Linked DNA regions of Macaca mulatta. The protein of the gene in region 2 interacts with the protein of the main gene of each other region in a pairwise test. Links are inferred from orthologs where the notes say so. Each region holds a gene or a part of one and is shown on either strand. Other genes may lie near its edges. The genes, in order: ADGRG7, LDLRAD1, PLN, BNIP3, VTI1B, BNIP3L and MALL.

Region 1 (4,577 bases), on a different chromosome or scaffold from region 2:
TTTGGGGTACCCGTGCAACCATTCTGTTTTTCACTTTCACTGCAGTATTCAATATATCACAGGGGACATTCGACACTTTATTATAAAACAGACTTTGTGATAGATGATTTTGCCCAATTTTATGCTATTGTAAGTGTTTTGGGCACCTTTAAGGTAGGCTAGTCTAAGCTAGGATGTTCAGCAGGTTAGGTGTATATTTAATGCATTTTGACTCATGATATTTTTAACTTAAGGTGGATTTATTGGGATGTAATCTTATTTTAAGTCAAGGAGCACCCACGCTCCATAATAATTAAATTTGATATCTTTTATTTTAACAGTTATGACTTGCCTTATAGGTGGCTATATCTAGGTATCTCACCCCTGAGAAAATACGAGTTCTTTGAGGACCCTGTTCATTTCTTGTACCAATTCGAACACATTAAAGGGATTTAATATGGATTTGATGAAGCGAGGGAGTGTCCAGAGAAGACCAGAGCACCTGTTCTCTCTACCAGAACAAAACTGTGATTAAGGAGGTGAATGTTCGTTTATCTGTTCTTTCAGGTAAGGGTGGAGGATAGGGAAGGAGAACATGGGAGCCTGGGCAGGGGAGGGTCAGAGCTGCATCTATAGAGAGACACCAGTTTGTAATTACTCTGATGATATATTAGCTTCCCAGGGCTGCTCTAATAAAGTACCACAAACTGGATGGCTTAAACAACAGAAATTTATTGTCTTACAGTTTTGGTGGCTAGAAGTCTAAAGTCAAGGTGTCAGCAGAGCCAGTTCTTGCTGAGGACTCACTCTTTGGCTTGTAGATGGCCGTCTTCTCTCTCTGTCCTTCTGATCATCTTTCTCTATTCATGTCTGTGTTCAGATTTCCTCTTCTTATAAGAACACCAGCCATATTGATTAGTGACCACCCTAACAAACTCATTTTAACTTGATAGGCTCTGTAATAACCATATCTCCATATAAGGCCCCATTCTGAGGTACTGAAGGTTAGGACTCCAACATATGAATTTTGGAGGGGACACAATTCAGCCTGTAGCAGATGGGTTATCATGCTGGGCTTTAGTGCTTTTCAAGACCCACCCTGTGCCAGTATGCCCACTCACCAACTGCATCTGTCAAAATGTAGGCTCCTTAAAGAAATGAAAGCATTAAAATCACATGTGGTGATTGCCATTTATCCTCTTGTTGACAAACTAGTTCATTTCCCTGAGAGAGTGTTTTGTGTGGTCTGAAGCACCTGCCAGTCTATCCGTGCTGTACCCTCCCAAGACAAAAACACAGGAAGCCGAGCCGTAGGTGACCACTGGCATCCACTGCCTTCATGATTTCCTCTTTGGTTTCTTCGGTTTTGTTCCCTTGCTTCACTCTGTGACTTGTCTGGACATTCACTCTTTGACCCTTGTGGCTAGTCCCTCCCCTTCTTCTTTATTGCCTGGAGTTATCTCCCTATTCCCATAACTCTAATCACTTCTTTCACGTTCTCCTTCAGTGAAGGATGAGGAAATTGAAAGCAGAGTATGCACGTTTTATTAGGAGATTCAAACGGCATCCTACTGCATTAGCCTCAAAAGTCCTAAAATATAAAGACATCCATCTGACAGATCACTGAGGGGAGGACTTATTTTTCTGTTTTAGAAGTTTCTGATTAAACTCAAGAAGAAAAGAAGCTAGTTGTTTCTCACCCAGGAGTGGATTTGTGGTTTGGCTTCACCATGGCTTCTTGCCGTGCCTGGAACATTAGGGTGCTGGTGGCTGTCGTGTGTGGGCTACTGACTGGCATCATTTTGGGACTGGGCATCTGGAGAATTGTGATCAGGATCCAAAGAGGTAATGTCCTGCTATGTTTAACTCAGAGTAAGAGAAGGCATGGGACCTCTGTCCCTGCCACCTGAGGCACAAGTACTGGGAGGTGCCTTGTCCAGTCTGAGGCATCCCAGCAAGATGCCATTTATGGGATATAAAAGACCAAGTCAGTTAAGCCTAGCAGATGGTTGAACAGAAATGAATAGGTGTGGGTGTGAATGGGGAGGGGGAAGAGTGACATAATTGAATTGGCGTCTTTATGCTCTTTTAACTCCAGACTGAATTGGTAGAAGAGTAATAATTAAAACAATTAGTAACACATGTTTAGGTCTGTTGGGTTAAATTAAGGAAAGGGTAAATCGTTATGAACAAGGACACACACATGCAGCAAACACGTACACACACGTGCATAACACACACACAATCAAACATGCACAGAATAGAATTTCACTTTAAGAGAGAAGTTAAAGAAACTCATCACCAAGGTTTAAGTGAAATGATCTCATGGTTTGCACACAAATTTCCCACTTTCCAGATGTAGGAAATTAATCAACAATTTAAAAATCATTTTTAAATGACTTTCCTGATTATTCAACAAATATTTATTAGTTCCCCACTGTGTGCCAGAGCTGGCCTGGAAAAGGAGGACGTGGGAGGGGAAGTATTGAGTAAAACAATGATGTTAAAGCAAAGCCTGCTGTAACTCAGAACAGAAAATTTCAATGATCCTAATGCTGGATCCCTTGGGCTGTAGAGCTTCTCCATAAAGGAATTCAATATTGGATGGGCTGCATACTCCCTTTTGTAAAAATCAGAGAAAGCTTCTAATGAAACAATAAATAAGGGTAAGTGTCATGCACGTCCATGTGAAGAGACCACCAAACAGGCTTTGTGTGAGCAACATGGTTGTTTATTTCACCTGGGTGCAGGCAGGCTGAGTCCGAAAAGAGAGTCAGTCTTCAGCTGCTAAGCCGAGAAGATCTGGGAAGGAGTCAGTCAGAGAGTCTTGGCCCAGAGCTCCAGGGGCTCTGGGAGTGGCTGCCAGGTGAGTTGAACGGTCCGATTTCCAGTGGGGTCCCGCACAGATGGGACACGGCTTAGGAGGAATCCTGGGCTGCGGGCATTCCTTGGCCCAGTGGCCAGATTTCCGGCACTTGTAGCAAGCTCCTGGGGGAGGAGGTTCTGGAGGAACCCCTGGCAGCTGCGGTTCAGGTGTTTGGAGTTGTGTGCTGGAGATGTGGCTGGGGTTTGTCTCACAGTGGAGGCAAGGAATTGCAACTCAGAAATAAGTTGCTACTTGGCTGCCTCTACTATATTATTGTACACCTTGAAGGCGAGGTTCATTAAGTCCTGTTGTGGGGTTTGAGGGCTGGAATTTAATTTTTGGGGTTTTATTTAATGTCAGGAGCAGATTGGGTAATAAAATAAAATGCATATTGAAAATAAGATGGCCTTCTGACCTTTCAGGGTCTAAGGCTGAAAAGTGTCTCAGGGTTGCTGCTAAACGGGCCATGAACTGGGCCTCTAAGTTTTTCATATTTGATGAAAAAGAGCCTAAATGCTAACTGATTTGGGAGAGGTCGGATAAAGAAAAAGGAACATTAACCTTGACTATGCCTTTAGCTCTAGCCACTTTTAAGAGGAAATTGCTGGGCAGGTCGGGGAGGGCTAGTCGCGGAACGAAACTGTAAGCCAGACCCGTGTGAGGAGGGGAGGTGATAAAAGGACTATAGGGTGCGGGAGCAGAGACTGAGGAAAAATTGGGACCTAGCTTGGCCTGGCGAGGAGGGGAGAGGTCAGATGGGTCTGTAGAAAGGGATGATTTTTAGAAAGACTCACCGATGCTTGGGGTTGGGGCTGAGGGGACAGGTGGGAGGAAAAGAAGGAAGATTTGGGGCGAGTTGCATTGGGAACAGAGACTAGGGAGGGACCGATGTGTAAAAGAATGCCTGGACGTCAGGCACCTCAGACCGTTTGCCCATTTTACAACAATTATTTAGATCTTGCAGGATGGAAAAATCGAAAGTGCTGTTTTCTGGCTATTTGGAACTACTGTCGAGTTTGTATTGGGGTTAAGCAGCATTGTAGAAGAAAATAAGGCGTTTAGGTTTTAGATCAGGTGTGAGTTGAAGAGGTTTAAGTTCTTGAGAACATAGGTTATGGAGAACGAAGAATGGAGGGTGGAAGGTTGCCTGCGGTGAAGGAGGCAAGCCCAGAGAAAAGAGAGAGTGGAGACACAGAGAGAAGGAGTTCGGAGGTTCTTGCCCTCCAGAAAAGCAGGAAAGGGGTCGGGGAGCAGAAATAAGGTATTGGGGTGCCAAAATAAGAGATCAGGGTGCAAAAATAAGAGGGGGCACAAAAATAAGACGTCAGGGCGCAAAAATAAGAGGGGGCAAAATAAGAGATCGGGGTTCTTGCCCCTCCCCTAGAAAAGCAGAGAAGGGGTAGAGACAGGGAGAGAAGGGGTCGGGGTACTTGTTCCTCCCCCAGAAAAGCAGAGAAGGGGCAGACAGGGAGGATAGGGGTTGGGGTGCTTGCCTCTCCCGCAGAAAAGCAGGACTTGCCGCTTAGGGTGAAGGACCAAGGCAGACGTCCCTGCAGCGTGGTCAGACACCCCTGAAACGTGGGTGAGTAATCAGAGAGGCGTTCCTGCAATGATTAAACACCAAGGGAAGGCTGCCTTCCCCAGTCCCTGACCGGTGCCGGCGTTTTGGGTCCACGGATAAAACGTGTCTCCTTTGTCTCTACCAGAAAATGAAAGGAATTGAAATTAAGAG
Region 2 (3,842 bases):
TCACCCTGTGCATCTCCACTCCCAGAGAACCCGTATTCATCCCTCAAGGCAGAGTTCAAGTGTTACCTCCTCCAGGAAGCTTTCCCTGACTCCCACACGAGGTTAAATTGTCTCCTTGGGCTTCCACAGTCCCTGTGGTTCCCTGTGTCGCAGCCCTCGTCACACTGGTTGTCACTCGATTGGCACATCTGCTGCCCCCATCAGACTGTGAACTCCTCTGAGGCAGGCCCAGTCCGCTTGATATGGGGGCCCCAGCGCCTAGCACAGAGGGGTATTCAGAATGGCTTGCTGAATGAATGAGCAAATGAATGAATGGGAAGACCTGGCCCCGGACCTCAGACACCAGAATGTTCTCAGGAGAGAGAAGCCTGACCCCACAGGAGAGAGACAGCCTGGAGAGGTGCAGTGGGTGGGGTAGGGGAGCTCATGGAGGGCGAGTCATTGCATCAAAGACCCTCAAGACGAGAAGCAATTTCAAAAACATCTAGTCCTTGCCCCAGCTCATCCCCAGGCCCCTCTTTAGCAAGCCCAACCGAGGCCACCCGGCTTCCGTTTGCACCCCCTGAGATGCAAGGGTTGGAAGGTTTTTCCATGGGAAGGTTTTCCTTGTCCCAAACTTAGAGCTGCCTCCCAGAGTGGTTCTTCCCTGATTGGTTCCAACTCTGTCCTTCTGTCAACCCTGCCCCAATAGACCATGCTTTAATCCCTGCCATCATGGTGGCGCTGCATGGATTTGAAGATTACTTCCTTGCCCCCCATTGCGGGTTCTCTTGTCTAGGCCGCATCCCCTTCTCTAGGTCACAGTCAGCCCCCTTGTGACCGAGTTCCTGGCCCTCCCCATTCCATCAATGCTCCACAGAATAAATACCAACTGCCTATGTCCCCCTCCCTGGACAGGCCTCAGAAACATCCTCGGCGCTTCTGGCTGGGTCTGGGCAGTCTAAGGAACAGAAGCTTGCTCCCTCCCTGCCCGAGGTTTTCTACCTCTAGTGGTGCGGCCTGAGTTTGTGTGAATTTTTGGTAGCCCTATCACACTGCTGCCTAACAGAACACACTTCCCCTGAGCTCCGGGGCCCAACTGTAAGACTTCCACATTTATTCCTGTGCTGTTCCAGTTGGAGGAGGCTTCCTGGAGGTGATGGAACTTGAACCTGAACTTGAAAGTGGAATGGTTTTGCATAGGTATTAAGGAGGCTCTTTGTGGAGGGGCATAGGATCAGCAGTGGCGTGGGGCAGGAACACACCACGACTGGGGAGGAACTGAGGAAGGGAGGGGCAGCTCTCTGGGCCTCTGTCCAGCGACGGAGCTCTCCTCTCCCTCTGACTCCGCCGCCTCCCCAGGAAACCTTCTGCTTGCACCCTTATGGGCTGGATGGTCACTGATCCTGAGTTTGGCAACTGCCAGGGCGGCCAATCCTTCTCCAGATAACCCTCAGACAGCTGTGACCAGATGTGAACTTCTTCCTGCCTCCTCTGTCCCAGGAGATGTGCCCCAGAGCCTCCCCCGCTTCCTCGTGGCCCACTGTGGAGACCCGGCCTCCTGGATCTACTCAGACCAAAAATGTGATGGCACTAACAACTGTGGGGACTGCTCCGATGAACTGAGCCCAGGTAGGGGTCTGGGCACAGGCTGGGCTGAAGCCGGTGGCTGGGCAGCAGCCAGAGGGCAAAGGGTGACCAGGGAATCTCTAGGGCTCCCCTTTGCATGCCTTCTCTGCATCCTAGGAAGAAGTTTTCTACCCCTGCTTGAATACATCCTGTGGTGGGGTACTCACTACCACTCTAAGTGACTTCTGGAGGCTCATTCTTCTGCAGTGGGGAAGTCGCCTTCAAGGGCGCAGATGAGAAAACTGGGTCCCAGAAGGTGGTCATGCAAGGAGTACATACGTGACCCTGCTGGGATTTGAACCTGGGATTCCCTCATCTCTGCACCTCCCAATAACCCTGTGAGGAAAGCAGGGCAGGAATCACCAGCCCCAATTTGTTTGTAAGTAAACTGAGGCTTTGAGCAGAGAAAATTAGTACAGTGCATGACAGGAAGGGAGCTCAGGTGTGAACCCAGGCCTCCTGATCCAAGTCCCAAGGCCTATAGCTGCCCTAGAGTTTCCTCTCAATCTCTTCCCCAGTGGTCAATCAACAAACATTTTCTGAGCACTGGTGGGGTGCTCAGAACACACCTGGTATCAGATTCAGGTGGGGGACATCAGGAATCAAGCATGTGTCGTACCCCCAGGACTTACATCATGCTGATGCCAAAAGGAGATGCTGGGGACCTGGAGGAATCAAGGGAGACTTCTCAGAAGAGGTAGCATTCAGGAAGACCAAGAATAGACAGGTTTCAGTAGGCAGAGGCTGGGTGTGTGGGGAGGAATGCCAGAGGCCTGAGCAGAGGAGAGAAGGCTAGGAGCACTCTCGGGGAGTCATGGCAGGTAAATGTGGCTGGACTTAGGGTAAGGAAGGGCATCCATTCATATTGCAGCCTTTACCATGTGCCTGGGACTTTGCCTGACATCCTTTGCTTAATAACAAGCTTGAGCACACTAGGAAACAGGTTCAGACAGGGTGAGCAAGGTCACATAGCCTGTGAGCTGTGGAGTCTGTGAGCTGTGGAGTCTAGATTCTCTCTGCTGCAGGAAAACTAGGAACACACTCAACCCATATTAGATAGGTTGGGGCCGTGGGGAGCAGGTTTCAGAACTAGGGAGTGCCCTGCTGCACAGAGCATTCCAGGACACAGCAACTGCTCTCCTGCTGGCTCTTGTCTCCCCAGTGACTGTGTGCCCACCCTGTGGCCCTGGGTGGTGGCATTGTCCTTCAACCTTCTTCAAGTACTGCGACTGTATTCCGAGGCGTCTCTGCCGCGACCACATACAGCACTGCTCCGACTGGTCCGAAGAGTATGCCTGTCCCGGACCCTGAGTGGGCTACTCAGGCCAGCATGGAAGGCTGGCTAGAATGGCACTGATAACCCTGCACATGAAAATTGAATCCTAGCTCACAAGGGCAGGAAGGAGCCTTTGAAAGGGGATCTACACATCATTTCTGAAGAGGAATTTTCTCTCCTGCTTTCAAGTTGTTCAGTCTCTGCTTGAATGCCTCCAATGACCAGGAGCTCGTTACCATGTTAGGTGGCTTCTAACACAGAAGAGGTGATGAAACCCTGTCTCTACCAAAAATACAAAAATTAGCCAGGCATGGTGGCCCACACCTATAGTCCCAGCTACTAGGGAGGCTGAGGTGGGAGGACTGTGTGAACCCAGGAGGTCAAGGCTGCAGTGAGCTGTGACCATACCACTGCACTCTATCCAGCCTGAGTGACAGAGTGAGACCTTGTCTCAAAAAAATAAAACAAAACAAAAACATCAACAAAGAGAAAAGGAATCTACTTCCATGATTTCATGCCTGTCTCTGGGGTGTCTCATAGGAAATCTGCTAACTGCTCCAAGACAGACTTGTGGATCCTAATCTCATCACCCCTTGGAGTGATGATATGTCTGGGAACTAAATGACAAGCTGAGTTTAGCCTTCACGGATGGCACATATGTGAAACATATGCCACTTCCTACCCCTTTGGTACCTAAGGCAGAGATACTGGGCTTGGATGCAACCTTAGCATCTCCCCCAGTTCAGTTAACCCCGCAGGCTCTACTGGTTTAACCACGTGACACAGCACACGAAACAGGATATCTGGCATCCTACCGGTGGGAAGCCACCACAGGAAACTCCGAGCTGTAGAATAGAAGATCTGGAGAAAGAGCAGCTTGAAGGGCTCCTCATCAGTCTTCTGTCTGTCCACCCTGCTCTCCACACCACCACTCCCCACCCTCCACTCTATGCCCAGC
Region 3 (3,165 bases), on a different chromosome or scaffold from region 2:
TGAGATTGGCTCTGGAGCTATTAATACAGTAACTGATCAAACCAATTACATCTACAGTGTAACAGATTTAAAGAAACTATATGTGAGAACTTTTACCCAAAAGAATAACCCAAAACGAGCTGTACCTTAAACCAAATACAGCAGGTCCTCAAATAACATCATTTCCTTCTATGTCATTTTGTTATAACATTTAAGTATGTGTGCAGCTTGAATGTTCTCTCCATATCTGTGAGACTCTCGTTTCCTCCCATATCCCAAAACTGTGCACATTAGGTTCACTGGCGTGTTTAAGTTGTCCTGGGTTGAGTGTGAGTGTGTAGATGAGTGTATCCTGTGATGGAGTGGTCTCCTATCCAAGGTGGGTTCCTCCCTCCTTGACTGCTGGGATTGGCTCCAGCCACCAGCACCCCAAACCAGAATAAGAGGGTTGAAAAATGAATGAACGGATGAATACAAATTATTATCAAATAAAAACTGGTAAAGTCTAGGGTGATCATACAAATGCATGACAATAAATGCTATGGCACAAAAGCACTCAGAGATCCCATTGTATTTCTCAAACATTGATTCCATGTTTTTAATTGACCAACACAACCACTGTTACTCACTGATTCACGAAATACTGGGTAATTATCTTTGTTGGCTTTTTTTTTGAGACAGAGTTTTGCTGTGTCACCCAGGCTGGAGTACAGTGGCATGATCTGGGCTCACTGCAACCCCTGCCTCCTGGGCTCCAGCGATCCTCCCAAGTAGCTAGGATTACAGGCACATGCCACCAGCCTAGCTAATTTTTATATTTTTAGTAGAGACAGGGTTTCACCATGTTGGCCAGGCTGGTCTCAAACTCCTGGCCTCAGGGGATCTGCCCGCCTTGGCCTCCCAAAGTGCTGGGATTACAGGCGTGAGCCACTGCACCCGGCCTATCTGGTTTTTATTAATCTTTCTTAAATGTACATATAATTCATATTTCTCTCAACGTTTAATATTAGAAGTGTTTGGGTCTTTATTGAGAAGTTTGGTGATGTTCTTGTGACCAGAAATGTGCTATAGGAACTTACCTCTTATTTACATCAATCAGCCTAGGGTAAAAATGGTTTTGTTATATGTTGTTTTGCATAAAGTCTTGGTTTCCAGGAACTTATGGATGACACTGAGGATTACTGCAATACTTGTAGTAAATTTGGGAGAAAAAGGCAAAGACTGAAGTTACTACTCCTAACACAAATGAGACTGTCATGTTGTGCCCCATCAAAAAAGGAGAAAGAGAGACACATGGAAACACATGCGCACACACACACACACACACACACATACACACACACACACACACACACAGAGAGAGACAGAGAGAGAGAGACTATAGAAACACTTGATGTTATAAATAACAATAGTGCTGAGGAAGATGAATTAATACAACATTGTATTTTTTGTCCTGATAATAGGTTACATATATTATTCTAATCTATTTATTATTTTTACATTCCAGGCTACCTAAAAGAAGACAGTTATCTCATATTTGGCTACCAGCTTTTTATCTTTCTCTCAATCACTTAAAACTTCAGACTTCCTCTCCTGCTGGTATCATGGAGAAAGTCCAATACCTCACTCGCTCAGCTATAAGAAGAGCCTCAACCATTGAAATGCCTCAACAAGCACGTCAAAATCTACAGAATCTATTTATCAATTTCTGTCTCATCTTAATATGTCTCTTGCTGATCTGTATCATCGTGATGCTTCTCTGAAGTTCTGCTACAACCTCTAGATCTGCAACTTGCCACATCAGCTTAAAATCTGTCATCCCATGCAGACGGGAAAACAATACTGTAAAACAGACCACTTCCTGAGTAGAAGAGTTTCTTTGTGAAAAGGTCAAGATTAAGACTAAAACTTATTGTTAGCAAATGTATTCATCTGCTGGATCTTGTAAACATGAAAAGGGCTTTATTTTCAAAAATTAACTTTAAAATAAGTGTATAAAATGTAACTGTTGATTTCCTCAACATGGCTCACAAATTTGTATCCCAAATCTTTTCTGAAGATGAAATAAGAGTTTAGTTTTGAAACTGCACTGCCAACAAGTTCACTTCATATATAAAGCATTATCTTTACTCTTTTGAGGTGAATATAACTTATATTACACTGTAAAAGCTTCTTTAATACTGTTTTTCAAGTCTTCACCAAGTATCAAAGTAATAACACAAATGAAGTGTCATTATTCAAAACAGTCCACTGACTCCTCACATCTGTTATCTTATTATAAAGAACTCTGTAGTAACTCTTTGTAGTAACATTCTAAAACAGAAATTGCATTTTTGCTATGCCACATTAACATTTTTTAAAGTTGATGAGAATCAAGTATGGAAAAGTAAGGCCATACTCTTACATAATAAAATTACTCTTAAGTAATTTTTTCAAAGAATCACAGAATTCTAGTACCTGTAGGTAAACCATAAATCTGTTCTAAGACATATGATCAACAGATGAGAACTGGGGGTTAATATGTAACAGTGAGATTAGTCATATCACTAATATACTAACAGAATAGAATCTAATCTTCATTTAAGACACTGTAGTGAATTATCTGACCTAGAGTTACCTAGTTTACCACGCTGTATCTTTTGAATCATGAAACCTTAAGACTTCAGACTGATTTTACAGGTTGTCTTCCATTCCAACCTAACATCCAATGCAGGCAAGGAAAATAATACAAGATTTCCAGTGACAAAAAAAAATATTATCTCAAGTATTTAAAAAAATAAAAATATGAATTCTCTCTCCAAATATTAACTAATTCTTAGATTATATTTTGAAATGAACTTGTTGGCCCATCTATTACATCTACAGCTGACCCTTGAATATGGGGGTTAGGGGAGCTGACAATCCATGGGTCTGCAAAATCTTAACTACCTAATAGCCTACTGTTGACCATAAACCTTACTGATAACATAAACAGTAAATTAACACATATTTTGCATGTTATATGTATTATACACTGTATTCCTACAATAAAGTAAGCTAGAGAAAAGAAAATGTTATTTAGAACATTGTAAAAAAGAGAAAATATATTTACTATTCATTAAATGGAAGTGGGTTAACATAAAAGTCGTCATTCTCATTGTCTTCACATTGAGAGGAGGAAGAGAAGGAGAAAGACGGGGAGGAAGA
Region 4 (4,665 bases), on a different chromosome or scaffold from region 2:
TCATGTTATGCCATTTATCTCTGGCTGTTTTACTTTTTTTTTTTTTTTGAGACAGGATCTCACACTGTTGCCCAGAATGGAGTGCAGTGGCCTAATTATGGCTCACTGTAGCCTCTACCTCCTGGGCTCAAGCAATCCTCCCACAGCGGGTGCCACCATACCCAGCTAACTTTTTTGTATTTTTTTGGTAGAGAAAGTGTTTCGCCATGTTGCCCAGACTGGTCTCCAACTCCTGGGCTCAAGCGATCCTCCCGCCTCGGCCTCCCAAAGTGCTGAGATGAAAGGCTTGTGCCCCACCTTGGCCTCTGGATGTTTGTTACTTCTCAGAAAACCAAGATCATGGCACTCCAAAGACTAGAGACGATTCAACAGGCAAGAGCAGCGATGAAAAACACGCAGCGACTGAGGTCTGGCTCCGCGGCTGTGACCTCGGTTCAGCTTCTGAGCGCCTGGTTCCTTGGCGGGAAGCGTCCTCCTTCCCCACAAAACCAGGCACGGCTGTTTGGGAAGCAGCGTTTCTGGGGCGCACCTCGATACTTGGATTTGGATCAACAATGCTTTCAAAAAGGAAGACTTTTGATCAAAAGCGGGAAATGAGAAAACTTGACTTTCCTCTGAAGACTGTGCGCCTTTTCCCGGTCCCGAGGCCGCGAGGCCCCCCTGCCAGGCTGGCTCCCACGGAAGCCCGGCACCCACCCGGCCTGGCCCAGCGCCACTCCGCCGCGTGACCCGCGGAGGCCCCAGCCCACCCCCGGGGACCGCCCGCCCCACACCGCGTTCGCCCCCCGGAAGCCCCTCGCCGCAGAGGCGGACGGCGCCTCTCCCGGGCCCCTGGGTCTGCGTCTCCCTCCGGGGACTCTTCCGACCCTGCTCGAGCCTCCGCTTCTTCCTGCGGGCGGACGCCCCAAATACAACGGGCCCCGCTGTTCACGCAGGGGCGCCCCGGCGGGGCGGGCAGAGACCCGGGGGCGCGGCCCCGTCCCGAGACGCTCAACTCCGGCCACCGCTCGCAGCTCCCTCCCCGGCGCAGGTCCCGACCCCACGGGGGACCCCACGGGCCGTCCCGACCCTACGGGCCGCAGCGGCCGCTTCCCTGCACGTCCTCACGCCCCCCGCACGGACGCTGCCAGCCCCGCGCCTCAGTTTCCCCACTCGCAGGATGTAAAGACCGGCCCCGCCCCGACGCGCAGCGCCGTCCCCGTGATAGCGAGTGCCCAGGGCGCCCACCGGCCCCACCGCCCCTTTAAAAGGACTCGGCCCACCGCCTACCGCGGCGGCGACCTCGCAGCCCACTCGTCACGAGGCCGCGGCGCCCCGCCCGTTCCGGCTCACCTCAGGCGGTCGCTGAAGCCCCAGCGCCTGCGCGCCCCTCGTCCCGCCCCTGTCCCCGCCCGCGTCCCGCGCACCGCAAGCCCCTCGCCCACCCCCCAGGACCCGCCCCGCGCACGCGCCGCACGTGCCACACGCACTCCACGCCCGTGCGCACGCGCAGGCCCCGCGTCGCGGCCAATGGGCGACGCGGCCGCAGATCCGCCTGGCCCCGCCCCGCCCTGTGAGTTCCTCCCGCCGGGCGGCGGGGCTGGGCTCAGTCCAGGAGCGCAGCTGGCCGCGGCGCTCCGCTTTCCCAGCGCCCGCAGCTGAATCGCAGTCCGCAGCCCGCAGCCCGGCGCGGATTCCCATCGCCGCAGTCGCCCTCCGGCGCCATGTCGCAGAACGGAGCGCCCGGCATGCAGGAGGAGAGCCTGCAGGGTGAGGCCGGGGAGGCGGCGCGGGAGCCAGGGGGCGCGGGGGGAAGCCTGGAGGAAGGCCAGAGGGAGGCCGAGGGGGCGCCAAGGGAGGTTGCCCGGGAGGCCTGGGGGACATCGCGGGCCGTGCGAGGCTGCGCCACCCGCCCCTCCCGTGCCCACCCCTCCTGCGGGCGTGCGGAGCCCGGGGCATGGGGACCCCACGTACTGCCCGGGGTTCGCGGCCTCGCCGCTCGGGCGGGGGTTGGCTTGGACCCGGGTCGGACCGCACGGGAAAGCCCCGATTCTCCAGCTCCGCCAAGTTGGAATTCCACCTGGAGGTGAATCTGCGTCTCGCAGTTGGTCCGAGAAGCCTCAAAGTCCACGTTGCCCTCCGCGGTCTGTAGTTCAGACCCGTATTGGTTTTAACGACCAAACACCAAGGCGTGGCCAGTGGACTGTTATGTGCTTTAATTTTGTTATTAATGTTTATATCCGTGGTGATTTAGGATTTCCTGAAGGGTGAAGGCGGAGATGGGAGGGGGTTACAGTGTTTTTAAAATATGGCATTTAATGGGCATGTTCCAGTTCTACTAGAGGGTCGTTCCAAAACAAAGCTTTAAATTACTTACGGGTTAAGAAAACACAAGCACAAGGACGCTGCCAGTGCCGCACTCAGTCGTTACAGGCTGCTTAATGCCCGAGTAGAGGCTCGCCCTGTGCCCTTGGCTAGATTCGCAAGACCATGCGTTCGCGCAGCGGGAAACGCAGGCCCGGGGTGCAGGACTTGCCCCACGCACAGCCAGGTGGCGTGGAGACCCTCCCCACCCGGAGGGTCCGCGTCAGAGTCCAGACAGCATTTGCTCAGGGAAGCGGACATTGAAGCCGCCTTCCCAGGGTCCCTAGGGCCCAAGCCTGGGAGGAGGGACCTGGTGGCAGCTGACCTTTGTGTTCTCTGAAGCCAGAGTTTACTAAGCAAAATTAGCATGTAAATAAGCTTGGGAACGGGCTGCGGAAACCTCTGACTGTGAACTTTTAATCTTCATTGAGATTTTTTAAAACCATGTATCACATAAATTCAGTGAGTTGCTAATTTTATTACAAAAAAAAATTTTACTAGGCAGGACTTAGTTACTGTAATATATTAAATATATATATATTTGAACACTACAACCATTTTTTTTTTTTTTTTTTTTTTTTTTTTTTTTTTTTTTTTAAGAGACGGGGTCTGTGTTGCCCAGGCTGGTCTGAACTGGGCTCAAGCGATCCTCCCGCCTCGGCCTCCCAAAGTGCTGGAATTAATAGGTCTGAGCCACCGCGCCTGCCCTAGAACCATATTTTTAAAAATCCTGTAATTCGGATTTTTCCTCTTGAAATTTAAACATTGGTTATTACTATTTTGGAATATATTAAGGGGTGTTTTCCTGACTTTTGTTATAAAATCCAAGGGATGTTTTTATAAACTCTTTGCCATAAAATCACCCATTTTCCGGTTGTGTTACTCCTGACATTGTGCGTTTCACTGCCTGGCTGGGGATCTGGGCGCTGGGAGGTGGAGGGGGCCCCGGGGTGGCTCAGTCCTCTCTCCAGTATGTAACTTACACAGGCTGCTGAGTCATTGGCAGTGCAAGACGGCCAGCGCCGGAGTTGCGAGATTTTTGTTTTTCTGTTTTGTTTATTCTGTAAAAGGATAGTTACCCGCGGGGTGGATCCCATGTAGGCGATTCCTTGGGCCGCCCTGAGTGTCCGCGCGTCAGGACGGGGCCACCGTGGGCTCGGCGTGGGCGGGGTTGGCCTGTCCCGCGGGCTCCAGCCGCCTGCAAATCCGGCGCGGAGCGGTGGCTCGCCCAGGCAGCGCTCACCTCTGCCCCTCTGATTTCACTGCCCCTTGTTTACCTCGGAACAGAGAACTGTGGGAGCCTTGCAGCCAGACCCACAGATGGAAGCAGCGAGCACTCTCTCTGCCTGTACCCTCTGGGGCCAGCTGCTTTTCCTGAGGAGTTGACGGCAAAATGGGCTGATTCCGTTCCTTTCTATCTCTTGATCATTCTGGCTATTGTTGTTGACCCGCAGGATGCTCGTATTCGTCCTTTTTTTCCTCTTTATTTTTTACGAGCCCAGTCTTACTTTGTCGCCCAGGCTGGAGGGCAGTAGCACAATCATTATCAAGCTCACTGCAGCCGAGAACTTGGCTTTTTCTCCTAGGCATGTCACTGCTGACATGCAGGAGAGGTAGGATTCTGTGATGAGACCGGGTCACGGTTGCTTGGCGTCACTTCCTTGAAGGACCCACTGTCTTCACCAGGAGGGCATCAGTTCAGTAAACTGCTTGCCCATTTACTCTGGAGCTTCCGTATTTAATGATCCAAGCCCTCAGCTCTTCACCTACTGCTGTGTCTGCAACTGGCAGATGGTTCTCTTGTCAGAGGCAACTCACCATGGGTAAAGTTGTAATAGGGGAAAAGATGCTTCCACTTATTTTGGAGCGGAATTGTAGCATTGTGCGCTTTGAGACCTGAAGGGGTTGCAGACATCTAGATTCTTGTCCAAGACCTGCATTTCATAGATGGTCACAATGAGGTTCTAGAGGTGGAGTGAAAGATAAGGCTGGCAACTTAAGGAGAAGCCAAGGACTCTGCATTAAGCACCAGTGGGATACCTGGAGCCCAGATGCCTGAGGCTGCGTGCCATAGGCCAGGGTCCTGGAGGAGAGCCTGGCAAGGGGGGAAGGTTGAGGGAAGTGAGCCGTTAGAAGCCAGGGACCTGATTTACCTACCGGGCTGACCTGATGCTTGAAATATTTTGTCAGGCAAGTCACTTTTGTTCCTCTCCACACTAACCTGAGAAGCTTTAAAGGTAAAAACAGCAATTTCTTAGAGCCCACCTCCTCTGGGGAAGAAGCCCTTTGTATGGTTTTGGGGGTGCTAGTTCCCTCTGGGGT
Region 5 (4,030 bases), on a different chromosome or scaffold from region 2:
ATTCCAACACTTTGAAATGCCAAGGTGGGAGGATCACTTGAGGCCAGAAGTTCAAGACCAGCTCGGGCAACCTAGGGAGACCCCCCCATCTCTACCATAAAAAAAAATTACCGAGGTGTGGTGGTGCATGCCTCCGGACCCAGCTACTCAGGAGGCTGAGGTGGGAGGATCACTTCAGCCTGGTAGGTCAAGCATGTGGTTAGCCACAATTGCACCACCGCACTCCAGTCTGGGTGGCAGAGCAAGACCCTGCCTCAAAAAAAAAAAAAATTACTGTTCTTTCTTAAACTTACTGTCACAGAAAATATAGTTTAGAGGTAATTCTAACCATGTCCCTTTCTGCCTTAAAAGACAACATAGTAGCTGGACTTGGTACCTCAGGCAAGACATGCATGAGTCTCAGTTGGCACCCAAAGTTTGTCAGAAGTTGGTTCAGTTTACTGAACAGTTTAATAACTGCTTCTCTTCACCTGTGGCTTTTCTTTTTTTTTTCGCTCCAGCCCTATGGAAGCAAGAGTTCTTTGACTCCATCTCATTATACTCTAGCTTCAGCAAACCCATTAAGATTGGGGCCAAAATTCTGGTCCCTGCTAGTACTCTGCAGAAATAATTGCCCCTGTATTTGCTACCCCAGAGCAGATAAAGAAAAAAATTCTCTTTTGGCCAACGAACTTCCTTCTTGCTTGTTCAGTTTGCCAGTTATCACAGTGAAGTTCTGAGAAGGAAGCACATCTGCATCCTTTTCTCTGTTTTGCATCTGTTTTAAGAAAGACCAGGCCACCAGACTGTGGAAACTATCTTCTTCCTAATGGGGGTACTAGGAGCTTTTCTTAATACCTATGTGCAGCTGGGCATATCCATGATACCTGTTTGTAGCCATTCTCCTGTTTCAGTTAATACCTTGGTAGCATTTTTAAAATCTTCTAGCTACTACTGATTTGTTTGATGCTCAGATACTTGTTTTCTCCAAACTCAACAAAAGTAATAATCCTAGTCTGACCATTCCAGGCAGATGAAAATAATTTAGGGCCTCTTGTGAACATGTCCAGGTGTTATATTTTACTTATCCCAGAAAAATAGAAGTCTGATTCCCCTAAAGCACCCTGCTCTAGAGTAGGCCCCTGGTTGTCTCTAGACAAACTTAATTGATTTTCAGAAAGAGGAGCAGGAGAAGGGAAGAACCCTGATGCCAGACCCCTATCACTTTTAGTACGGTAGACTTCAAAGCACTTTTTGATGGCAGTGTTCAATCATACCAGGCTAAAAACTTGGTATATTGAAGAGAGCTGAGAGAATTTGAAGATTTTGAACCCTGACTCCTTTTCTGTTTAATTTTTTTTTTTTTTTAAATAGAGATGCGGTCTTGCTATGTTGCCCAGACTGTGCTCAAATGATCCTCCTGCCTCGGCTTCCCAAAGTGCTGGGATTACAGGTGTGAGCCACTGTGCCTGGCCCGGACTCCTTCTTTTTGTGTAATCTTGAGCAGGTTTCTTTAAGTTTTTTATATGAAATGGAGCATTTCCTACCTTATTGACTTGTTGTGAGGATTAAATGGAGAATGTATATAAAAATGTTTAGTAAGCTATAAAGTACTTCCTGTTTTTCCATTCATTCATTCAGTTCATATATTTTGAAGGCCTGCTCTGTGCTTGCTAGACAGTACGCCAGGCATTCAGAATGAGAGGAACATGCCAGACATGGTCCCTGCCTCATGGAGCATATGGTTATTTGCTTGGTGTAGTCCAAATAAATAAGTAGTTTGATTAGTCCAAACTAGGCATATTTCCAAATGAGTGCGGGAAGAACCAGGCTATCCACTCACTACTTTCTGCCTTCCCAGCTGGCAGAGATGGAGGAGGAACTACGTTACGCACCCCTGTCTTTCCGTAACCCCATGATGTCTAAACTTCGAAACTACCGGAAGGACCTTGCTAAACTCCATCGGGAGGTGAGAAGCACACCTTTGACAGCCACACCTGGAGGCCGAGGAGACATGAAATATGGCATATATGCTCTAGAGAATGAGCATATGGTAAGTTTTAGCTGTTGTTGTTGTTTTTTTTTTCCTTAAGGGCCTATATTGTTGGGGTATTTCATGTTATCAATGTACACTAGACTCTTGTTTCATTTTTTTCACCCTTATCCTCTTTTTTGCATCCAGGTCCTGTTATCCCCTTGGTATCTGCTCTATTTAATGCAGGCCTTTTGAACCATATGCATATTTAGATTTATTTTTATCCTTAATATAATACAGTCTTACAATAAAAAAAAAACAGTGCTTTGTATGTAGTAGTATATAAGTGTTACCTATTCTTATTATCTGGATTCTGTATTCTGACCCATTGATCTAATTTCTTTTCTCCTTGATCTTTTTTATTCTTTCATATAAATTTTAGAATCACTTTCTCAAGTATGCCTGGAAAATTCAGTTAGGTTTCTAATTTATCAGAATATTGTTACACAATCAATCCAAGCTTTCCTTTACCTTAATGTCAAGATGGCCCAACAACTGAGATACAGTAACCAATGCAGGACGCTTCTCCAGAAGGAACTTTCTTTTTTTTTTTTTTTTTTTTTTTTTTTTTTTTTTTTTTTTGAGATGGAGTCTGGCTCTGTCGCCCGGGCTGGAGTGCAGTGGCCGGATCTCAGCTCACTGCAAGCTCCGCCCCCCCGGGTTCCCGCCATTCTCCTGACTCAGCCTCCCGAGTAGCTGGGACTACAGGCGCTGCCACCACGCCCGGCTAGTTTTTTGTATTTTTTTTTAGTAGAGACGGGGTTTCACCGTGTTCGCCAGGATGGTCTCGATCTCCTAACCTCGTGATCCGCCCGTCTCGGCCTCCCAAAGTGCTGGGATTACAGGCTTGAGCCACCGCGCCCGGCCGCCGAGAAGGAACTTTCTATCTTTTTATTCTGTGGTAATGGAAAGTAAGCCAGACTGCCTGTCTGGCTTTCAGGATTCTGATTTATAAAATTGGACTAATTGAACATCTGTATTCTGAAACCATCTAGAGCAGCTGGATTGTTAAAGGAATAAAACGTCTGAAAGATTAAATGTGCTGCATTTGGTCTGTCTTCCACAAACACAACACAAAGTAGAAATTCTCTGGCAAGTAGCATGGCAGAGAAATAGAAAGGGGCCTACCAGTTCAGACTGAACAGAGGTAGAAAGGCTCATACTCCAATTTTAAACAAATCCTGTTTCACGATGCATCCTGATTATAGTTTAAGAGACATTCAGAATGATATTGGCTTGACATGGCTGATGCCAAAACTAGACCGCTTGAGAATGAAGTATTTAAAATTTTCAAATGGATGCCCGAGGGATCACTACAGACTAGAAGCTGACAGAAGATCACTTAAAGGGAGACTGGAAAAAGGCAGGCAGGTGGAGCTGGTGAAAGTGGGAGTTGTAAAAGTGACTTTAGTCATGTTGCCAAAGTTGGGGAGGAAGTCCAAACAATTTTGCCTTAAAATTATGAGTTTCAGAAATTATTAAAACATAATTTAGGTATCCATGCCTTCAGTAAAATTATTGTTCCAAATCTGTCTGAAGTTCATTTATGTGATCTGATCTTTTCTTGGTCATTTTTTAGCCTACTCAGTTGAAAATCTGCATCTTTCATTTTGAAAACCTTTTTCCTTCTTCCTTTGTGCTAACCTAACTGATTTTATTTGAACCTCATTCAGTGGTTTCCTCATCTGCTGGTCTGTATGCCATTTATTAAGTCAAAATGCTACAGAGCGCGGGGCATGGTGGCTTATGCCTGTAATCCTAGCACTTTGGGAGGCCAAGGCCGGTGGATCACCTGAGATCAGGAGTTCAAGACCAGCCTGGCCAACATGGTGAAACCCTGTCTCTACTAAAAATACAAAAATTAGCTGGGCGTGTTGGCAGCTGCCTGTAATCCCAGCTACTCGGGAGGCTGAGGCAGGAGAATTGCTTGTACCGAGGAGGCAGAGGCTGCAGTGAGCTGAGATCGTGCCACTGTACTCTAGCCCGGGCGACAGAGCGAGACTCCGTCTCAAAAAA
Region 6 (4,503 bases), on a different chromosome or scaffold from region 2:
TTTAAAAACTCAGATGGCCAGCAGCCGCCAATCCCTACCAGCTGAGGCTTGAACTCCTGCTTCCAGGTATGACTGGAAACAGCACTCAATCTATTAATAGAGTTCATTTCTGACCAAAATCTTAAAATAATTTGCAAAGGGATTTGACAAATCAATCCTTAGAAAAAACCTTTTAGCATGGAATTTTTCAAATATATTTAAAAATTAGAAGAATAATGCATTACATGGCTTCAATAATTGCCAATACATGGTCAATCTTGGACAAGTCCATTTTTAAGTTCATCTGAAGAGTAACTAGTCATTAACATCTGAAAAAGACAAACGAAGAGAAACTTTAATAGTTACCTAACAGAGGTATTGTAGATAGCCCTGAAACAGACTCACAATTTTGTGGGCATTCAGAGAGTGACAAAGGTACAATTTCAAATCAGGGTAGAAAGGATGGCTTAAAATTAATATTATTGGGTCAATGGGCTACAAAATTGAGAATTGAATTTAAATCATTTACAGCATATGGAAAATAAATTTCGGATGGATTAGAGCTCTGAATGTAAATTTAAGCCTATAAGAAAATTAGAAAAAGTTATAAGGGAATTATAGATTAATTATTTTGGTGCGAAAGTCTCCCCAAGTCATGTAAGAATGATAAATCTGATTACATGAAAACCTTACGCTTCTACACAGTGAAAAAAAAATTAAAAGACAAGTCAGAGACTGAGAGAAACATATGTGACTCATAAATCAGACCAAGGAGACAGGGCGAAGACATGGAGACGTGAAGTAGGAGGTGTGCTCAGGAAAATAGTTAAATGTCATCCACGTACAGGATAAACGGCTTCCCACGTCATGTCCCAGAAATCGATTAGTCGATGGGATTTGGGTGATTGCTTTCTTCTGTTTTTCCTGAATTTTTCTCTTTTTTATTTCTTTCCCTTTCTTCTTTCTCTCTTTCTTTTTTACAATGATGGTGTGTTTGTAATCGACATTTTAAAAATTCTATAACAATTAAATTTGGGGGCGGCCTTCCCTTGTTTCCCGTATGGAGTGTTGATGTTTCAGCAGCTTTATTTGGAGTTTACAAGTGGAAGCACCTGGGTTTGGGGCTTCCTTTGTGTCCCCAAGACACCTATTGCAGGAGTGAGTCCTAAGCAGTAGAAAACAGATGCATGTGCAGGGCTGGATGAAGCACTATGGAGCCTGTGTGAGAGGAGGCACGGGCGCTAACACAGGAGCGCACTTCCTCATTCCGCTTCTTCTCATCCTCTCTCGCAGTGCCATTGTCATCACTCATCCCATCCGGTCATCCCAAGTCACACGCAAGAGTTCGTTCCCGGCGCGCGCGTCAGCTTGACTCGCGCGTCTCCACGTCCGGGACCCGCAGGGGAACGCCGCCGCCCCGTCCGGTCGCTTGTTGTGTTGTCATCACGTGGCCTGGGCGGACCCTGACGTCAGTGGCAGGGGAGGGACAGCGCAGGCGCAGAAAAGGGGGCGGGGGACTCGGCTTGTTGTGTTGCTGCCTGAGAGCCTGAGACGGTCCTGCTGCTGCCGGAGCCCTGCCAGCTGTCCGACGATGTCGTCCCACCTAGTCGAGCCGCCGCCGCCCCTGCACAACAACAACAACAACTGCGAGGAAAGTGGCCAGTCTCTGCCGCAGCCGGCCGGCCTCAATAGTGAGTGAGGGGCCGAGGGCTTGGTGAAGGGGATGGGGGAGGAGGAGCCGCCCCGGCCGCCGCCACCGGCGCGGCGCGGGAGGCGGGAGGAGAAGGCAGCTCATTGGCCCAGGCCGGTGATGTCCGGGTGACTGACAGCTCCCGTCACCTGTCAGGAGGATGGGCGCCTGCCTTGCTCCGGGCCTCTCTGTTGCCTCCTGGGGTCATGGGCCGGGGCCGTTTGGGTTCGCGGTCCGGGAGCGGCGCGGGTAGCGCGGATCCCACTGGTGCTGGGGGTGGTCCCCAGCAGCGGAGCCGGGCGGGGCGGGGGCGGGCCTGGGGGGCGGGGAGGCCAGGTGGGCGGAGCGGGCCGCGGAGGGGACGTGGGCCGGAATGGGGACGTGCGGCGGGGACGCCGGGGGATGGACGCGCGGGAGCGGGGCGGGGCGGGCGGATGCCGCGGGACGTGTCTGGGATCAGGTGTGCGGGGCCCGCGGGCGGGCAGCGTCTGGCGGGCTCGGGAGCCCCCAGCGAGCATTCCTTTGTTGCCACATGTTTGTCAGGAAAATTCATTTGCTGGTCTAGGGGCTTCAGTCACGTGTGGGGTGAGAGGCTGTGCCTTGCTTCTCCTTTTTCCTTTTTTAATTTTTTTTTATTAGCTTTCTCGAAGTTGCCCAAGTGATTTTTTTTAAGCGATGAGGTTGTGCGCCCAGTAAACCTGAGAGCAGCCTCCTGAACCACCCGGGACTGCACACGTCAGGGAGTCTGGGGCCATGCATTTAAAGAAACGGAATTAAAAACGCACTCGGGCAATTGAAAGTTAACGGGCAAGGCTGATGGACAACCCAGGCCAGGGTCTTTTCATAACATTCCACTGCCCAGACATCTTGTCCTCAGATTGTTCCTGGTCGTGAGAACCGGGAGCCTTCTTGGAAGGGTTCTTGCCTAACCTTTCTTTAATTCAACTCTTGGGAAAGAGATAATGGGGGTAGCGAGCATATGGCCAGATGAAGGCTTTTCAAAACCGCTTGGATGCTTAAAGGTCATGCAGTATCTTTCGTAAGAGGGAGATGCTTCCAGCGTGGCCTGAAGATTATTCTAGGGAAGAGAGTTTCAGCCGTCACCAGGTAGCAACGGAGTTTGGAGATTTTAAGACGGATGCTGCTGCTCCAGGTTTTTTGATGGGTTAATACCCAAAACCTTTAAGTGTCCTACATTCCAGAATGTAAGACGGTTATGTTATTTCCCACAGTAAATTAGGATGAATGTCTGAGTCATTAAACGTTACTCGTATCACATATTCCTATGCAATTTTAAGTTATTTGCCCATGTTTAGCATACTGTCTTAGGTTTGAGAATGGGAAAAACTTCAGAGCTAGCTAACTGCCTCCTGTTGTTTACCTGTAGAGAAACAGGTCTAGAGTTAAGAGCCTGGTCCAAGTTCACAACTGGCTGGGAGCAAAGCGGAGGTTGTCATGTTCAGCCTGTCTACTGCTGTTTTCAGGGAGGGCTTTTTTTTTTTTTTTTTTTTTTTGAGATGGAGTCTCGCTCTGTCTACAACCTCCACCTCCCAGGTTCAAGCGATTCTTCTGCCTCGGCCTCCTGAGTAGCTGGGACTACAGATGCTTGCCACCCGCCCAGCTAATTTTTATATTTTTAGTGGAGACGAAGTTTCGCCATGTAGTTGGGATTACAGGCGCCCGACACCAACCCAGACTAATTTTTGTATTTTCAGTAGTGAGGGGGTTGGTCTCTCACCATGTTGGCCAGGCTGGTCTCAAACTGCTGACCTCACGTGATTAGCCCGCCTGGGCCTCCCAAAGTGCTGGGATTACAGGCTTGAGCCATCACACCCGGCCTCTTTTCAGGACTTCTTTTCAGTGGTCCAGAACCTCCTGCTGGTCTGTGTGTCTTATTTTGTCAGTGTGTTATTCTACCTAATTCACAAAGGTGGCCCACCTTTCTGTTTCTTTTTAGTATTCTGTTTCTTAATTGTGCAATTTTCTTATGAGTGAAGATACTTGGTAGGTGTACATGATTTCACTGAAATCTAAGGGATTTTCATCTTCCTTTGACCCTTTAACAACAACAACAATAAGGGCTGAGCCAGGCAGGGCGTGGTGGCTCATACCTGTCATCCCAGCACTTTGGGAGGCCGAAGCGGGTGGATCACTTGAGGTCAGGAATTCGAGACCAGCCTGGCCAACATGGTGAGAGACCAACCCCCTCTCTACTGAAAATACAAAAATTAGCTGGCCTGTCGGGCGCCTGTAATCCCAGCTACTCAGGAGGCTGAGGCAGGAGAATCGCTTGAATCCGGGAGGCAGAGGTTGCAGTGAGCTGAAATCGGGCCACTGCACTCCAGCCTGGGTGACAGAACGAGACTCTGTCTCAAAAAAAAAAAAAAAAAAAAAAAGGGCTGAGCCATATGTCATTGTTTATCTTGGAGTCTGACAGACCTATGAGGAGTTTGATGTCTTTGGCCAGTCGGTTCCTGCTTGGTTGACATCAACTCTTACAGAGGTGGAAGTACTCAGCCTGCATGGGATATCAAAATGTTGCTTTGGGAAATCTAGATAGAAAATATTTTACGTGGGATAGGGTGAGCTTTCTGAAAAGCTTTTAGATAATGCCATATTTAATTACTCCCCTCTTTCCTCTTAACTCTGTTCGTTTTTTTAGCTCATTACACAACACTGCACTGAACAAAACAAGAAGCCTCATTGATTCCTTGAAGTGATTTTTGGGCATTGGGCAAAACAACTTATTCAGGCGCCTAGTACTATCCAAATTGCGATAAGTTGAAGGACTTTGTTGGGTAAAGTTGCACAACTGAAAAACAGGAGATGAAATG
Region 7 (4,030 bases), on a different chromosome or scaffold from region 2:
TGTGTGTTTGCTTATAAGAAAAGGATCTGCCAAAGTTGTGCTTGAAATCTACTTGCTCTAAATGGCTCGCTGTAATCAAATATTTCTCCACGTTGAGGGCCAGCCCCAACCATTGAAAAAAAAATATCTCCTGCTCTGAGGAAATACAAAAATAAGCATTAAAATGGGAAAGCAGTTTAGGCCACCAGGAAATTTGGAAAGCCAAATGTGAGCTTTAAGAAGAAGTAAAAACAAACACTCAAAGTTTTCACAACTATAAGGAATCCAAGCTACACTACTTAAGACAGAAATGAGATCATGAACTCCACTGGGTTTAAATCCACCTGCAGCCCTTGGCTCTGGCCCCTCCTACTGTTCAGGAGGTAGAGGGGTGTGGAAATAAGAAAGTGAGTGACTTTCTTCTGCAGAACATTGATTCTGCAACACTGAAGCCATTGCAGGAAGGTTCCCGTGACATTTGAGTAGATTCCCAAATGCTCAGAGGCCCCTGGCCTGTTGTGAAAGGCAGGACAGGGATCCCTAAGCCGTAGCTGGAACCCAGAGAGAGGAGGCCGCTGATGGGCTCCCTGAGACTGCAGGTATGATATCCCCATCAAGGCCCTTAATGCCCCAGGCAGAACTTGGCTGAGGCTCTAGCAGGCCACCCTCTGGCACATTCTAGGAGCCTCCACCTGGCCCTGCCTTTGGCCTTGAAATCTGGTTTTTGGGGCAAGAACCACAAGTGTCCTACACCATGTCCTAGTCCCACCACGCACTGCCTGTGTGACCTCAGGCCCCAGTCCCCTCTGGTACAGTATTACCTCATGGACTGTGGCAAAGATTAAACATGAGAATGTAAGTAACATGCATGACTGTGTCTGGCCAAGGAAGCTTCTGATGGCAAGAGGGGGACCAGGACCCGTCTGCAGGCACTGACTGGCAAGATGCGGCTGAGGTTCCCTTGCTGTCCCCATGCCTGGCACAGACGAGCTGGCAGTAAGCAGTGGAAGGTATCAAATGGTAGTTCTCTGGTCTTTCCAAGGGAGTTAGAATTGCTGTGTGGACTAAATGAGGCAGTCTGAGTGAATGCATTTAAAAAACTGTAAAGTACCTGGTGAATCACTAATAACCAGCATTGTTCATGTGCCAGCATTTTAATGCACTTCTCATAGCTTCTTGGCAAGTGCCTTAAAACTGAGCCCTGGTACCTTTCTGAAGCATCAGCAGCCCTTATCACTGGGATTGACACGCAACAGCACAGTTGAGCGGGAGCCAGAGGACAGCGGCTCCCATCCCTCCCGCCCCCTCCCTAGGACAAGCAGGCCTTGACTCATTCTCCGGCAATCTCAGACCAGCCTAGGACTTCCAAAATTCACTTGGATTTTGATTGTTAAGGGGGAATTTGCTCCCAGAACTGGTGCTTTAAGAGGCAAATTCTAGCTTCAGTTCTAGCTTCTCATCTCCTTTTCCCCTTTTCTCCTTAAGAGCCCAAGAATGCTCCATAAATTCAAAGACAACAGCTGACAACAGCAAGGGGAAGCCTCAGAAAGTAAAGGGTGACATATCTATGTCTATGTATTGGCCAGTTGTAATATAAGAATTGCTGGTCCCAGAAAGCTAGGGATATAGTTTGGAAAGCAGAACTCAAGTTGTATATCTTTTGGCTGAGCTATAGACAAGGGCTTGAAGACAGGGCACAGTGGCTCATGCCTGTAATCTCAGCACTTTGGGAGGCCAAGGCAAGAGGATTGCTTGAGGCCAGGGGTTTATGACCAGCCTGGGCAACAAAGCAAGCCCCTGTCTCTACAAAAATTAAAATAAAAATTGGCCAGGTGTGGTAGTATGTACCTGTAGTCCTAGCTACTTAGGAGGCTGAGGTAGGAGGATCATTTGATCTCAGGAGTTGGAGGCTGCAGTGAGCCATGATTGCACCTCTGCACTCCAGCCTGAGTGACAGAGAGAGACTCCCTCAAGAAAAAAAAGTGAGTGAAGTTGTTTGGTCTAGAAAGTTTCTGATACATCTTTCAGAACTGAGCTACCTCCACAGACATGAGCTCCCAGTCAAAATTCACTAAACATGAGAGGAAACAAGTGAACAAGAATAGAAGTTAATGGAAGCCATAAACTGCAGAATCAAGCTGTTAAGGCCAAGTGAATGGAATTTTCAGATATTAAATGTAGAATGAACACTAAGCAGGAGTAATAAAAAGATATCCACCTCTCAACACATGGTATCACTGTTTCACAAACTGCAGAATGCTAAAGACAGAGTGAAGACTAAATACAGCCGAATAAGGAAGACAGATTCCTACAAAGCAAGAGTTCAACTGACAGCTGACCTTTCAGCAGCAACCGTGGAAGCCAAAACACAACAGAAGCATACGGGAAATATACAACATGGCGGAAATACATCTCGGAAGTGCGGAGAGAAAATAATTGTCAGGGGAAATTTAAGGACGTTTTCTAATAAATCAAACTGACTACTACCCACTGACCTTCACTAAAGAGATTACTAAAGGGTGCACTCCAGGAAGAAGGAAAATTATCTCAGGAGGAAAATCTTGGATGCAAGAATATCTTCATGACTCAAAATAGAGAAGAATTTCTTAAACTTGATAAAAACATAGTCAATAAAGGAAAAGACTGACATATTCAACTGCCTTAAAATTACGGGCTTAGTTAATCAAAGGAAACCATAAAGTATGTGAATGCTAGCAGAATATATTTGCAATGTTTATGACAGTCCATGAAATCCACACCATTAGCAAGAATTCCTATGAATCAATAAGAAAAAGAAAAATCTATTTTAAAATATTTAACTGATTAAAAAAATAAAAAACTTTACAGAGGAAGAAATATTAGTGGCTAACAAATACACAAAAATAAGCTCTATCTCATTAGTAATTCCACAGTGTCAGTGAGCAACAGGGAATGTCCCACAGCATGGTGTGAGGTTAATTGGGTGAGGGGATGTGGTCCACTGAGGACTCCAGGTCCTTTTAAAGAGACAGTCACAACTCATTTCAGCCTACTCTGGCCTGAGAAATGGGTACCCTGTGGCCAGAACCACAGATTTCTAAAGAAATGTCCCAAATCTGGATTTTCCATGTGAAATATCCTGTTTTAAACATTGGGAACTTATTCAGAATTGTTTAAAAGTGTGTATGCCAGTACTGCTTGAGCCAAAAGACACATTCACAGGCCAGACTTGGCTGAGTCCCTCTGTTTGTGACCTCTGCATTAACCCCTTGAATTTTCTAACAATCAGACCTGACTTTACCGTGACTCAGAGGGGCCAGGCTTCCTTCTCCATTTCCCTCTTGGTTCCCTCCTAATTTCACCTGAACTTGTAGCTAGACACAGAAAAGAGATGCCCTGCAAAGAGAAACATGCTCCATACTAGCTAATGAAGCCCCTTCTTTTATGCTTTTATCTTCCAGATATTTGGGTTCCTGGTCTGGACCCTGGTAGCCGCCACCCACGTAGTATTCCCATTGCTGCAAGGATGGGTGATGTATGTCTCAATCACCTCGTTTCTCATCTCCTTGATGTTCCTGTTGTCTTACTTGTTTGGATTTTACAAAATATTTGAATCCTGGAGAGTTCTGGTAAGAACCAGCAGCATGGCTCCTCCTGGGTGGACGTCCTGGGTTGGGTGAGGACAATTGGCCTTTCTGGGCAGGGAGGTATCTTGGGCTAGGCTTCTATGGAGCCAAGACATTTTATCTTAGTATGTTACTACCAGGCCAAAATGAAGACATTTCTCTGCAAGAGTAAATCATTCCTTGTATTCCCCTTCACTGCCTTCCCTGTTAGGAGAACACACAATGCCCTGTGATCAAGCATATTCTGATGTGTTTCCCTTAAATTTTCTTCCTGGTAAAATCCTTGGAGCAACGCTGAAGAAAATGCTAGTAGGAAAAAATCAGTCCCATCTCAAGGCTCTATCACAATCCCTGTGACAGGTTATTTCTTCCATATCCCACATGAATTATATGTAAAGTATACACACACACACACACACATATATATACACACATATTTATATAAA

Evidence for each region.
Region 1: the proteins of LDLRAD1 (region 2) and ADGRG7 interact in binary tests that used the Homo sapiens proteins (3 or more experiments, as listed by UniProt). The two-hybrid records come from large-scale screens. The link is inferred for Macaca mulatta from reciprocal best matches to the Homo sapiens genes LDLRAD1 and ADGRG7.
Region 3: the proteins of LDLRAD1 (region 2) and PLN interact in binary tests that used the Homo sapiens proteins (3 or more experiments, as listed by UniProt). The link is inferred for Macaca mulatta from reciprocal best matches to the Homo sapiens genes LDLRAD1 and PLN.
Region 4: the proteins of LDLRAD1 (region 2) and BNIP3 interact in binary tests that used the Homo sapiens proteins (3 or more experiments, as listed by UniProt). The two-hybrid records come from large-scale screens. The link is inferred for Macaca mulatta from reciprocal best matches to the Homo sapiens genes LDLRAD1 and BNIP3.
Region 5: the proteins of LDLRAD1 (region 2) and VTI1B interact in binary tests that used the Homo sapiens proteins (3 or more experiments, as listed by UniProt). The two-hybrid records come from large-scale screens. The link is inferred for Macaca mulatta from reciprocal best matches to the Homo sapiens genes LDLRAD1 and VTI1B.
Region 6: the proteins of LDLRAD1 (region 2) and BNIP3L interact in binary tests that used the Homo sapiens proteins (3 or more experiments, as listed by UniProt). The two-hybrid records come from large-scale screens. The link is inferred for Macaca mulatta from reciprocal best matches to the Homo sapiens genes LDLRAD1 and BNIP3L.
Region 7: the proteins of LDLRAD1 (region 2) and MALL interact in binary tests that used the Homo sapiens proteins (3 or more experiments, as listed by UniProt). The two-hybrid records come from large-scale screens. The link is inferred for Macaca mulatta from reciprocal best matches to the Homo sapiens genes LDLRAD1 and MALL.

Annotation. Positions count from the first base shown.
Region 1 is NC_133407.1:182,983,066-182,987,642, reverse strand, and holds the start of ADGRG7 (adhesion G-protein coupled receptor G7), read left to right. Parts: upstream 1-1,463; 5' UTR 1,464-1,709; coding exon 1,710-1,824; intron 1,825-4,349; exon of another isoform or gene 4,350-4,427; intron 4,428-4,577. UniProt on the Homo sapiens protein: Orphan receptor.
Region 2 is NC_133406.1:186,602,540-186,606,381, forward strand, and holds the end of LDLRAD1 (low-density lipoprotein receptor class A domain-containing protein 1), read left to right. Parts: intron 1-1,482; coding exon 1,483-1,611; intron 1,612-2,770; coding exon 2,771-2,919; 3' UTR 2,920-2,968; downstream 2,969-3,842.
Region 3 is NC_133409.1:23,532,733-23,535,897, forward strand, and holds PLN (phospholamban), read left to right. Parts: upstream 1-1,502; 5' UTR 1,503-1,583; coding exon 1,584-1,742; 3' UTR 1,743-2,348; downstream 2,349-3,165. UniProt on the Homo sapiens protein: Reversibly inhibits the activity of ATP2A2/SERCA2 in cardiac sarcoplasmic reticulum by decreasing the apparent affinity of the ATPase for Ca(2+).
Region 4 is NC_133414.1:144,070,734-144,075,398, reverse strand, and holds the start of BNIP3 (BCL2/adenovirus E1B 19 kDa protein-interacting protein 3), read left to right. Parts: upstream 1-1,587; 5' UTR 1,588-1,703; coding exon 1,704-1,749; intron 1,750-4,665. UniProt on the Homo sapiens protein: Apoptosis-inducing protein that can overcome BCL2 suppression. May play a role in repartitioning calcium between the two major intracellular calcium stores in association with BCL2.
Region 5 is NC_133412.1:140,834,552-140,838,581, reverse strand, and holds part of VTI1B (vesicle transport through interaction with t-SNAREs homolog 1B), read left to right. Parts: intron 1-1,840; coding exon 1,841-2,032; intron 2,033-4,030. UniProt on the Homo sapiens protein: V-SNARE that mediates vesicle transport pathways through interactions with t-SNAREs on the target membrane. These interactions are proposed to mediate aspects of the specificity of vesicle trafficking and to promote fusion of the lipid bilayers.
Region 6 is NC_133413.1:28,123,503-28,128,005, forward strand, and holds the start of BNIP3L (BCL2/adenovirus E1B 19 kDa protein-interacting protein 3-like), read left to right. Parts: upstream 1-1,513; 5' UTR 1,514-1,570; coding exon 1,571-1,670; intron 1,671-4,503.
Region 7 is NC_133418.1:20,555,226-20,559,255, reverse strand, and holds part of MALL (MAL-like protein), read left to right. Parts: intron 1-3,419; coding exon 3,420-3,587; intron 3,588-4,030.